Canis lupus familiaris: one gene and its partners. The protein of the gene in region 3 interacts with the protein of the main gene of each other region in a biochemical or structural test. Links are inferred from orthologs where the notes say so. Each region holds a gene or a part of one and is shown on either strand. Other genes may lie near its edges. The genes, in order: TUBB2A, ISG15 and HDAC6.

Region 1 (3,748 bases), on a different chromosome or scaffold from region 3:
AAGCATGGCTCATCACCTGCAGCTTCATTGTAGTACACGTTGATTCTCTCCAGCTGCAAGTCGCTGTCTCCATGGTAACTGCCGGTGGGGTCGATCCCGTGCTCGTCACTGATGACCTCCCAAAACTGGGGAAGGACACACAGGTCAGGGAGGGGGCTGGCACCCTGGATGCCAGTGAGGAGGGCGGCCCCTGGGTCCCCTCCCTGTCCTTGGAGCAGGGGCCCCGTGGGGGCGGGGGGGGGGGGGGGCCTAGAGCTGCACCCGTGTGCTGCGGGGGCTGCCGCAGGGGGGCTCGTCGGGGCGCAGGGCGGCGGCCCCTCCCCCAGGCTGCCAGGGGCACTGCCCCGGGAGGGGGGGCGCGGCGGAGGCCCCGGCAGGGAGAGCCCCGGATGCTGGGGAGGCGGGCGCCCCCGGCAGGGCTGAAGGTCACAGCCGCCCCTGATGGGCAGGGAGGCCTGCGGAGACCCCGCCCCGCCACTGCCTCGGGGATGCGTGCTCCTGCTCGGGGTGCAAACCCCACCCAGCCCTGCAGGCAGCAGCCGGGACCTCGGACAGCAGCGGGCGGGTCGCCCTGTCCCCGCGGGGGCCGGTGGGGAGGGGTGGGGGAGAGGAGAAGGGTAGCGGTGAGGACGGAGGGGGGGAAAGGGCAGGGGCCGGAAGAGCGGCAGCCCTACAGAGTAGGGGGGGAGGGGGGAGAAGAGGGAGGGAAGAAGGGAGGAGGATGGGGAGAGGAGAGTGGGAGCGGCAGCCCTGCGGGGGTCGGTGGCTGGAGCCGGGCGCTGGGAGGGCGCAGCTCCGTGTGAATGTGCAGCGGCGGGGGGGGGGGGGGATGAAGGAGAGGCGGGGGGAGGCGGGGGAAGAGGCGGGGGGTGCGGAGGGGAGCGCCGGGCCCTAGGAGAGCCGCGGCCTCACCCCCCCGCCCCGCCCCCCCCGCCGCGGTCCGAGCCAGGGCCCCGCACCTGCCACCAGCCCACAGGCAGCGGCCCGCGACAGTGGGGCTCGGCGTCCATGGCGCCCCTGTAGGCACCGAGCATCCTGGTCTTTGTAACCTAAAAAGAAGTCCCTCTAGCTCGCCACCCCAATGACACTGCATTTTTTCATTCAAACTATAGAGGGACATACACAATCGAATTAAGCTGCGCTCCAGGCCACTGGCAGCGCGGCGGCTCGCCCACCCCAGCGCCTGGGCAGCGGCCGGGAGTCCTAAGGGCCCGTGAGCGTGAGCCCCACTGCGGCTCCGCGGGCCCGGGCAGGTCGGGGCGCTCCCCGCCGCGCTCACAGGCGCCACCGGGGCCCACGGCCGCCCACACCTGGCCCCGGCCCGCCCCCGCCCCCGCCCGCACCCTGGGGCCCGCCGCCCCTCCCCCTCCCCTGCCGGGATCCGCACCCTGAGGTCCTGGCGCCCCTCCCCCTCCCCTGCAGGGATCCGCACCCTGAGGTCCCGCCGCTCCTCCCCCTCCCCTGCCGGGTCCGCACCCTGAGGTCCTGGCGCCCCTCCCCCTCCCCTGCCGGGTCCGCACCCTGAGGTCCTGGCGCCCCTCCCCCTCCCCTGCAGAGATCCGCACCCTGAGGTCCCGCCGCTCCTCCCCCTCCCCTGCCGGGTCCGCACCCTGAGGTCCCGGCGCCCCTCCCCCTCCGCTGCAGGGGTCCGCACCCTGAGGTCCCGCCGCCCCCTCCCCGTCCCCGCCCGGGTCTGCACCCTGAGGTCCCGCCGCCCCCTCCCCTTCCTCTGCGGGGTCCGCACCCTGAGGTCCCGCCGCCCCTCCCCCTCCCCTGCCGGGGTTCGCACCCTGAGGTCCCGCCACCCTCTCCCCCTCCTCTGCCGGGTCCGCATCCCTCGGAGCCCGCCGCCCCCTCCCCGCCCCCGCCGGGTCCGCACCCTGAGGTCCCGCCGCTCCTCCCCCTCCCCTGCCGGGTCCGCACCCTGAGGTCCTGCCGGCCCCTCCCCCTCCTCCACTCGGATCCGCACCCTGAGGTCCCGCCGCCCCCTCCCCGTCCCCGCCCGGGTCCGCACCCTGAGGTCCCGCCACCCTCTCCCCCGCCCCCGCCGGGGTCCGCATCCCTCGGAGCCCGCCGCCCGCTCCCCGCCCCCGCCGGGTCCGCACCCTGGGCCCCGGGCGCGCCCACCTTGGCGCCGATCTGGTTGCCGCACTGGCCGGCCTGGATGTGCACGATCTCACGCATGGTGCGGGCTGCAGGCGGGCGGAGGCGCGGCCCGGGGAGCAGAGCGCGGCGCAGCCGGCGGAGTCCGCAGCAGAGAGCAGTCGCCGCCCCCCGCCCCGCCCTTTATAGCGCGGGAGGCGCCCCCGCCGGGCCCGCGGTGACGTAATGGGGCGGGGCGGGGGGCGGGGCGGCGGGGACTGCGGCACCGCGAGGGGGAGCCGGGGCGCGGTGCGAGGTGCGCGGCGCGGGGCTGGCCGGGCGCGGGGCTCGGCTGCCGGCGCCCCCTCCCGTGGCTCCGGGCGCCCGAGGCGGGCTGGGGGCGCGGGTCCCAGACGGGGGAGGGGCCTCGGCGGGGTGCGGGGCTCCTGCCTGCGCGGGGCCTGGAGCAGGTGCGGATCCGCAGCCAGGGTGCGGGACGGACTAGGGGGAGGGGCTCCGGGGACCGCAGGTGCCACCGCGTCGGGAAGACGGTGGGTGTGCGAGGGGCTGCGCTGGCCCCGCGCATCCCCTGGGCTCTTGGGCCCTGGTAAGGGCCGTGCAGCTGCGGCGAGTTCTGCGCGGGGCCTGCGTGCCACGGAGGATGCCAGGGGCCTCAGCCCCGGATCCCGAGCCCTCCACGCGCTGTGTCACCTAATCCCCGCGGCCTCCTTCCAGGGCCGCGCAGCCCCGTTCAAAGGCCACCACGCGCGACTCCTGAACGCTTGAGATGTGCCCTAGGCGCTGTGCGTGTAAGTCAGTCACTGCATTTCATGGACTCAGTAAGTTAAGCGACTTACTAATTTTGCATATTGATAACACATCAAAATACTATTTTGGATATAGGTTTTAATTCATTTTTTTTTCTTTTACCTTCTTAAATGACTACTACAAGGGCAGCCCGGGTGGCTCAGCAGTTTAGTGCCACCTTCCACCCAGGGCGTGATCCTGGAGACCCTGGATGGAGACCCCGGTCGGGCTCCCTGCATGGAGCCTGCTTCTCCCTCTGCCTGGGTCTCTGCCTCTCTCTCTCTCTGTGTCTCTCATGAATAAATAAATAGAATATTTTTTTTAATGACTACTACACTAGTAGCGACTACTGGAAAATTTTGTTACCTGAGTGACTCACATTGTATTTCCAGTGAACAGCCCTGCTCTAGAGTAGACGTAATTACTGTCCCAATTTCGGCGAAGGAGCCTCAAAGAGCTGAGTAGCTACAAAGCCAGTAAGTGAAGGCACCTCGAGTCCTTCCACAAAGACAAAGCCCAGGTGAGTTTTAAAGGCTTGGTCAGGGTGAGGTAACATCCAGTCTTGATTGTTCTCAACGATGATCCTGAGCGTTGGGCCAGGTGAGCGGGGACCTGGGGACGGTTTCTGTTTCCCTGCACATACTCCTTTTCCTCTCTGGGGCCAGTTTCTCCAACCATAAAATGATGATAATTATAGGTGCCCTGCCGCCAGCTTTGTGAGTAGGAAATGAGAAGCTCTGGATGAAAGCAGGTCAAATTTATGGATCAAGAATACCCTATAAAAGCCGAGGTGATGCTGCTGCTGTAGGCCCGAAGCCTGCTTGCCGGGTTGGTAGTGGCATCCAGCGGCGGTGGCCCG
Region 2 (2,677 bases), on a different chromosome or scaffold from region 3:
GAAGGTGTATCTGCTGGAGAATAGTCTCCGTTTAGCAGTTTGTGGGACAGTGATGTGTGTGTTCAAGGCCCTGCCCGTACCCCTCCCTAAACCAATGCAGACTGGACAGGGCAGGCTGATGGATCCTGGAGGGCCATGAGGCCCCAGGGCCCTGGCTGGTTTGGAGGAGCCTGCTTCACAGCCCACCGAGGCAGGCTCTGGGGCCTCACCCTCTCACCATTTCCAGGGGTGCTGGTCCCAGCAGGAACCTGACCACACCTCCCCCCACCCCACCATACTGTCTGCTGACCCAGATGTAGGGAATGGGAACCAGTTGTGCAAAGGCTGATTCTGGCTCAATCTGGAGATAGAGGTGGGCTCCAGCAGATGTGTCTCTTTTCTTTCTCTAGAAGTTAACTTCCCGAAGGTGTGGGGACATCTTCAATTTGTCCAAGGTGTGGATGGGAGTAGATCTCTATTTTGATCTCACTAGTCTTGTCCCTTAACTTGGCAACCCCAGCCTACTGACCACCCAGCGTCCCTGGGTCTCCTTATCCCACTTCCTCCTCTGTCCCTCCCTGTCCACATCAGCAGGGATGCAGAAGTGAGGGATGCTGGGGGAAGGACCAAGCAGAAGGAGCCATTTAATTTTGTCAACTTTTATTACCCATACTTGGTCAAGGACTTGGGTGGGTGGCTCTCAGCACTGCCCTCCTGGTCCTGCCCAATTCCCACCACCACCCCGCAGGCGTAAATTCATGAACACAGTGCACTGGGGTGTGAGACCATACTCCCCCAGCTGGTGCTTGTCCTCCATGGGCTTCCCTTCAAAAGTCAGCCAGAACAGGTCAGCCTGCACGTGCTCCTGCTGGCACACTTGCTGCTTGAGCTCAGCCACAGTCTGTGTCAGCCAGACCTCGTAGGCGATACTGCGACCCTTATTGTTTCTCACCAGGATGCTCAGGGGGTCATTACAGTTCTTCACCACCAGCAGGACTGTGCTGCCAGGACACAGGCCCTGCCTGATGAGGGAGATCCCATCCTGCAGCACTGTGCCAGCCGGGTGGGTAGCTAGGCGCTGTTGGAACGCAGGCACGCCAGTTTTCAGGGCTATCTGCTGCTTCAGCTCTGATGCCAGCATAGAGTCCCTCAGGGGCACCAGGAACTCCTCACCTCCCAGCATCTTCACAGTCAGGTTCCCAGCCTGTGGGCATCACACAGACTCATAAACCTCACCATCAGTCCTGGAGCCTCTACATGCAGATCATTGGCCACAGGGAAAGCTGTGCTCTCCTCCCCACCCACCAGGAAAGGAACCCCAGGCACTAGAGGGAAGCAGGGAGCATTTCCAGAAGAAAGGCCCATCCCCCAGGACCATCACCTCACCTCCTCAGCCCACTAAGATGCCTTCCTGTGCCAATGCCAAGGGATCTCAGAATTCAACACTGGCAAAACACATTTTCCCAGACCCAGACCTCAATCTCAGAAGCGGCCCTGCCCCTCCCCTCATGCTTAGGGACCTGGGGGAGCTCTGAGCACCTCCACTTGCCTGGCTCCACCCTTGGAAGACCCTAGCAGTAAGATAGGAAAAGAGCCTGGTACAGAGCCCACCTGCCCCCCGCCTGTCAAACACCCCTTACCATGGCTGTAGGCTCCAGCATCAAGTCCTCCAGGGGCACAGATGGATTGGCTGCCTCTCAGCTTGCAGCTACTCTCCTGTTCAGCCCTTTTATGAACCTGAGCTGTTCACGTCAGAGGGCAGTGTTGGGGAGAGAGCCTGACCATTGGCTGAATTTAGCTTCGGTTTCAGTTTCCTTTTCCCAGGGAATGCTCCTGTGAGTAGCAGAAACAAAACAGTAATAAAGACCTGGGATTACCCACCTGCCCAGAGACTCAGGACAATGCTCTCACCCTGTGTTCATTCAGAAACCCCCGTAAGTGTCTAGCACTTCAGGTTCTTTACAAGCTACACGGAAGTCATAACAGAAACTAATGACTGGAAACATTCACTTTCCATTTACCAATTTGCAAAATTAGTAAGTTTGGAAAACATTGCTGCAATTAATTCAGAAATAACAAACAAGTGACAATCCAAACTACCCAGAGATTATCACCATTGGTTTAGGATGGTATTTCTTCAGATTGTTTTTTGTTTGTTGGTTTAATGAAAGAAATATATCTCTTATTTTCTATAAAAATGAATTCATGAACACTATCCAGAAAGTGAAAAGGCTTTTCTCAAAATGGAAGAAAATATTTGCAAATCATAAGTCAGATAAGGATCTGGTGTCCATAACATATAAAGAACTCTTAGAACTGAACTATAAAAAATATAAACAATTCAATAAAAAATTGGGCAAATGGGGGCACCTGGGTGGCAGAGTTGGTTAAGTGGCCAACTCTGTTTTGGCTCAGGTCATGATCTCAGGGTTGTGAGATTGAGCCCCATGTCAGGCTTTGCACTCAGCCTGGAGTCTGCTCAGGTTTCTCTCTGCCTCTCCCCTGCTCTCTCTTTCTCTCAAATAAACAGATAAATAAATCTTTTTTTTTTAATTGGGCGAGTGTTTGAATAGATCTTTCTCTGTAGAAAATACATAAATACACATGAAAAGATGCTCAACATCATTAGTCCTTAGGGAAATGTCATTAGAGAAACTTAGATCAAAATCACAATGAGATACTATGTCACACTTATTAT
Region 3 (3,748 bases):
ATGCAATCTTCCCAGAGGCAGGGGTTCTGTTTGTTTTGTCTACCACGGCATCCCTAGCTCCTCAGGAGATGGCAGACATGTATTCGAGAATGAAATCTTTTGCCATCATGAGTCTTCTGTTGGGAGAGGGGACATACACACATAAGTGTGATAAATGAGCAAACAATGATATAGACTAGGAAGGCCTCCAACAGCAGGTGTGGGGGAAGGGGAGCAGACAAAGACCTCTTGGAGCAAGTCTCCTTGAGATGGGAATGTTAACTGGGTGAGGAGGAGGTGGAAATGAGTTTCTGGAAGAGGGGGCCAGCCAGGGTAAAGACCCGAGCTGACAGAGTGCCTGGCGATGCTGGAGGAACAGCAGGGGGACCAGTGTGGGTGAAATGAAGCTACGCGAGTGACTGGCTGATGAGGTCACTGAAGTGGTGTGGAGCCAGATCACGTGGTATGTTATAGGCCAGAATGAAGAATCTGGACTTTACCTTGAGGGCAATGGTATACCCTTGAAGGATTCTAAAAAAGAGAACAGGACTCTAACTAATGTAATGCAGTATGTCAACTATACTTCAGTTAAAAAGTAATTAAAAAGAGAGAGACAACATCATCTCACACGTATTTTGGTTTTCTTTGGCTGCCATGTGGAGAACAGACAGCAGGGTGAGGGTGAAAGCAGGCAGCCAAGGAGAAGGCCTCGGCCAAGTCTAGGTAAGTGATGGTGGTGGTGGCAGTGGAGGTGGTAAGGAGAGGTCAGGTACTGAATACATTTCCAACACAGAGCCAAAAGAATTACAACATGTGTGAGCAAATGGGAGGTATAAATTCTTGCATTTCTGCATGAAATATCCTTTCTTCAAGGAAGCCTTCTGCGAACCCCGGAATGCTAGTCTAGGGTCCTCTATCAAACACTCTTGAATCCCCTAGTCTGGGGTTATCCTTCGTTAAATACTTCACACTGCTGTTGGCTGTTTAATGATTTGCTCTCCTACTCAACTAACAGCTCCTAGAGAAGGGGCCCTGTCTGTCTGGTCTGACATGTCTGTATCACCAACTCCTGGAACACAGTGCATACTCAGGAGGTGTTGGCCAAATGAAAAGAATCTTTTCAAGCCTAAGCCTCCCCACTTGAAATCATCTGCTGCCAGTCTCCAGGCTAGCATAAGAATGGCTTCGTTCTTGCTAATGGGCTCTAAGGGCATTTATTTTTGTGGTTAGGGTACCGTCTGGAGGAGCCAGCCTCACCTGTCATCCCAGAGGCAGTGGAATTCATTTAGTTGCTCATCAAACACCAAGCCAGTGCCACAAAGTGTCTTGGCCTCAAGGTTCAGATCCTGCAGGGAGAAAAAAAGGGGAGAAACCGATCCACTTTGGGCCCGAGTCAGAAGGAACACACACTGTCCAGGAGGGAGAACCACAGGATTCTGATTGTCACAGGAAGCTAAATCCATTGAGCCCAGGCCACTCTCACCAGCCCTTGCAGGCCCACGATTAGGTCTTGCTCTGCTGCTTGGCTGAGCTTCTTCATTCTGCCTTTCTTCTTTACCTCTGCTAGACTAGGGCTGGAGTGGCGTAAGGCACCCTTCTTAACACCTCGCTTCTGCCAAACAGAGAGAAGGGTCAGATTCCAGGGCACGGCCTACTGCTCCTCCCCCCCATCAGGCAGGTTTGGGGCCTCACCGAGGTGACGCTGGAGTCGTGGGGGGGCGAATGGGGGTTATGCCTACTCCTTCGCTGCCTGGTTGTGGTGGAATCCTGGCCGGTGGAGGTCATGGTCGGGGAGACTTCACCCCTGATGCGGCTCTGGGGGGTGGGGTGGCGGTGACTACGAACAGGCTGGAGTGCCCTGAGGGCCTCCCAGACCCCGCCCCCTATACAGTCTCCATCCCTTCTGCTATCCTACTCCCCACCGCCTTCTAAACTCCACCCCTTTCAAGGCCTTCTCCTTCCACTGGGGTGTCCATTCCACCTGGTCCCGCCCATCCCAGTAGGCTCCACCCCCTTAACACTATTCTTTCCCCTTTAAAAGTCTTGCCCTTTCGCGGAGCAATAAGTCCCCAGGCTCAGTCCGTCCTAGCGCCGGCCCTTTCCAGCTAATCACCGCCCTTTCCGCTCCCCCAAATCACATTCCCAGACTCTTTCATTCCTCCAAGCCTCGCCAAGACCCCACCCCTTCACAAATCTGCCCCTTCCAGCTAATCTCCCAGAATAATCACCCACCCTTTCACTCAGCCAGACCCAGACCCCGCTCCGGCCCCGACTCCACCCTTAACGATCCACTTAACTCCACCCCTTATCAGGCTGGACCGACACCTTCCACTTGGCCAGATCCCGCCCCTAACGTTTCAACGAGCCTCGCTCCTCGGGGAACTGCCCCTTTCCTTCCACCAGATCCCACCCCCTGCTCAAACCCTACCCTCAAGCTCCAGCAAATCCCTTCAGCCAGTTTCAGGCCGCCTCCCACCAGTCCCCTCCCCCTTCCGACCCCACAGCCGACGCCGACCAATCCCTTCGGCTCCACTCACTGAGCGCAGCCCTTTTTTCAAACTCCGCCCAGGGCTCCCGCCGCCAAATTCCTGGCGACCTGCGGGACGGCGGGTGCTTGAGGCCCTCTTTTCCATTGGGCCGGTCTCTCTACTGCCCGCCCCGATCCGCCTACACTGTGTGTCGGTGCTCAGGGCCGCGCCCTTCAGGCGGGCCATACTTCCCGCGAGCTCACAAACGCCGTGGGTACGTCAGCGCGCGACGCTGGCTGTGCTGCGCCTGCGTGAAGCGTGCCCCCGCGGTTCGAGGTGGCGCTCAGGCTCTAGCCCGCCCCTCCCCCAACCACCGCCGCTGCCGTCCTGGCTCCCGTGGCCGCTGTCTCTCGATCCTTGTCCGGTCACCTTAGGAGTCCTCCGGACCCGCGCCAGTTGTCCTGTACGATGACTCAAGAGAGCAAACAAGCAAGCGAGGGAATTAGGAAGGGGCGGTTTCTTTTCTCCCGGTGGCTTCCTGCGCGGCGCGCTGTGATGACGTAGCGCGGGCGGGCCGGCGGCAGGGCCCCGGAGCGCGGTGGATATTGGAGGATGGCTGGTGGTGGCCAGAATGGGAGTGGTGACGATGTTAAATGCTGTGAGGCTTTTCCGAGTTAATATTCACTAAGGTGGCCCACAGGAAGCACTCACTAAATGTTAGCTGCTGCTATTCTGCTGGGAATATGGTTGGTAGGATGGAAGGAGGTTTACTGAGTGCAGTCGTGATGATAGCAAGTAATATGTGACAGGCACTGTCGTAAGCCACAATTCTGTGAGGTAGTTCCTATTATTAAGGCTGCTTTGGAGATAAGGAAACTGAGGTTACACGACTTAGCCATGTGACCCTTAGCAAGTTGCTGAACATCTATGTGCTTCGGTTTCTTCATCTGGCAAATTGTGATAATAGTGCCCGGGGCTTGAATAGACTCATGGAGAGTTTTTCTTGGATGGCAGTTCTCCCTCCAGCCCTCTCCATTGGGTAACCTCTGCCCCCAAGCTGTAGGGAAAGCGTGTGCCTGGGAAGTAGGGGGAGTTGCACCCGTGTGCCCCTCCAACTCCCTCACACCCCTTGTCTAGATGTCTAAATATCAGCTCCGCAGGAGGCCGGTTTGTCCTCCTAATCTCCCTCTCTCATTCTTCACCATTTCCTACCGGGCTGTAGGCTGGGGCTGAAGAGATAAGCGGTCTGGGGTTCAGCATGCTGACTAACAAATAGATTGACAGCCCCACCACCCAGTAGC

The links.
Region 1: of the proteins of HDAC6 (region 3) and TUBB2A, one has a biochemical effect on the other in vitro, tested with the Homo sapiens proteins (2 studies listed by BioGRID). The link is inferred for Canis lupus familiaris from reciprocal best matches to the Homo sapiens genes HDAC6 and TUBB2A.
Region 2: the proteins of HDAC6 (region 3) and ISG15 form a complex in vitro, tested with the Homo sapiens proteins (3 studies listed by BioGRID). The link is inferred for Canis lupus familiaris from reciprocal best matches to the Homo sapiens genes HDAC6 and ISG15.

Annotation. Positions count from the first base shown.
Region 1 is NC_049256.1:4,737,240-4,740,987, forward strand, and holds the start of TUBB2A (tubulin beta-2A chain), read right to left. Parts: upstream 2,287-3,748; 5' UTR 2,185-2,286; coding exon 2,128-2,184; intron 126-2,127; coding exon 17-125; intron 1-16. UniProt on the Homo sapiens protein: Tubulin is the major constituent of microtubules, a cylinder consisting of laterally associated linear protofilaments composed of alpha- and beta-tubulin heterodimers.
Region 2 is NC_049226.1:56,711,780-56,714,456, reverse strand, and holds ISG15 (ubiquitin-like protein ISG15), read right to left. Parts: upstream 1,777-2,677; 5' UTR 1,641-1,776; coding exon 1,620-1,640; intron 1,184-1,619; coding exon 680-1,183; 3' UTR 623-679; downstream 1-622.
Region 3 is NC_049260.1:42,208,401-42,212,148, reverse strand, and holds the start of HDAC6 (histone deacetylase 6), read right to left. Parts: upstream 2,711-3,748; 5' UTR 2,694-2,710; coding exon 2,517-2,693; intron 2,427-2,516; exon of another isoform or gene 2,408-2,426; intron 2,352-2,407; exon of another isoform or gene 2,212-2,351; intron 1,795-2,211; coding exon 1,672-1,794; intron 1,592-1,671; coding exon 1,463-1,591; intron 1,326-1,462; coding exon 1,237-1,325; intron 1-1,236.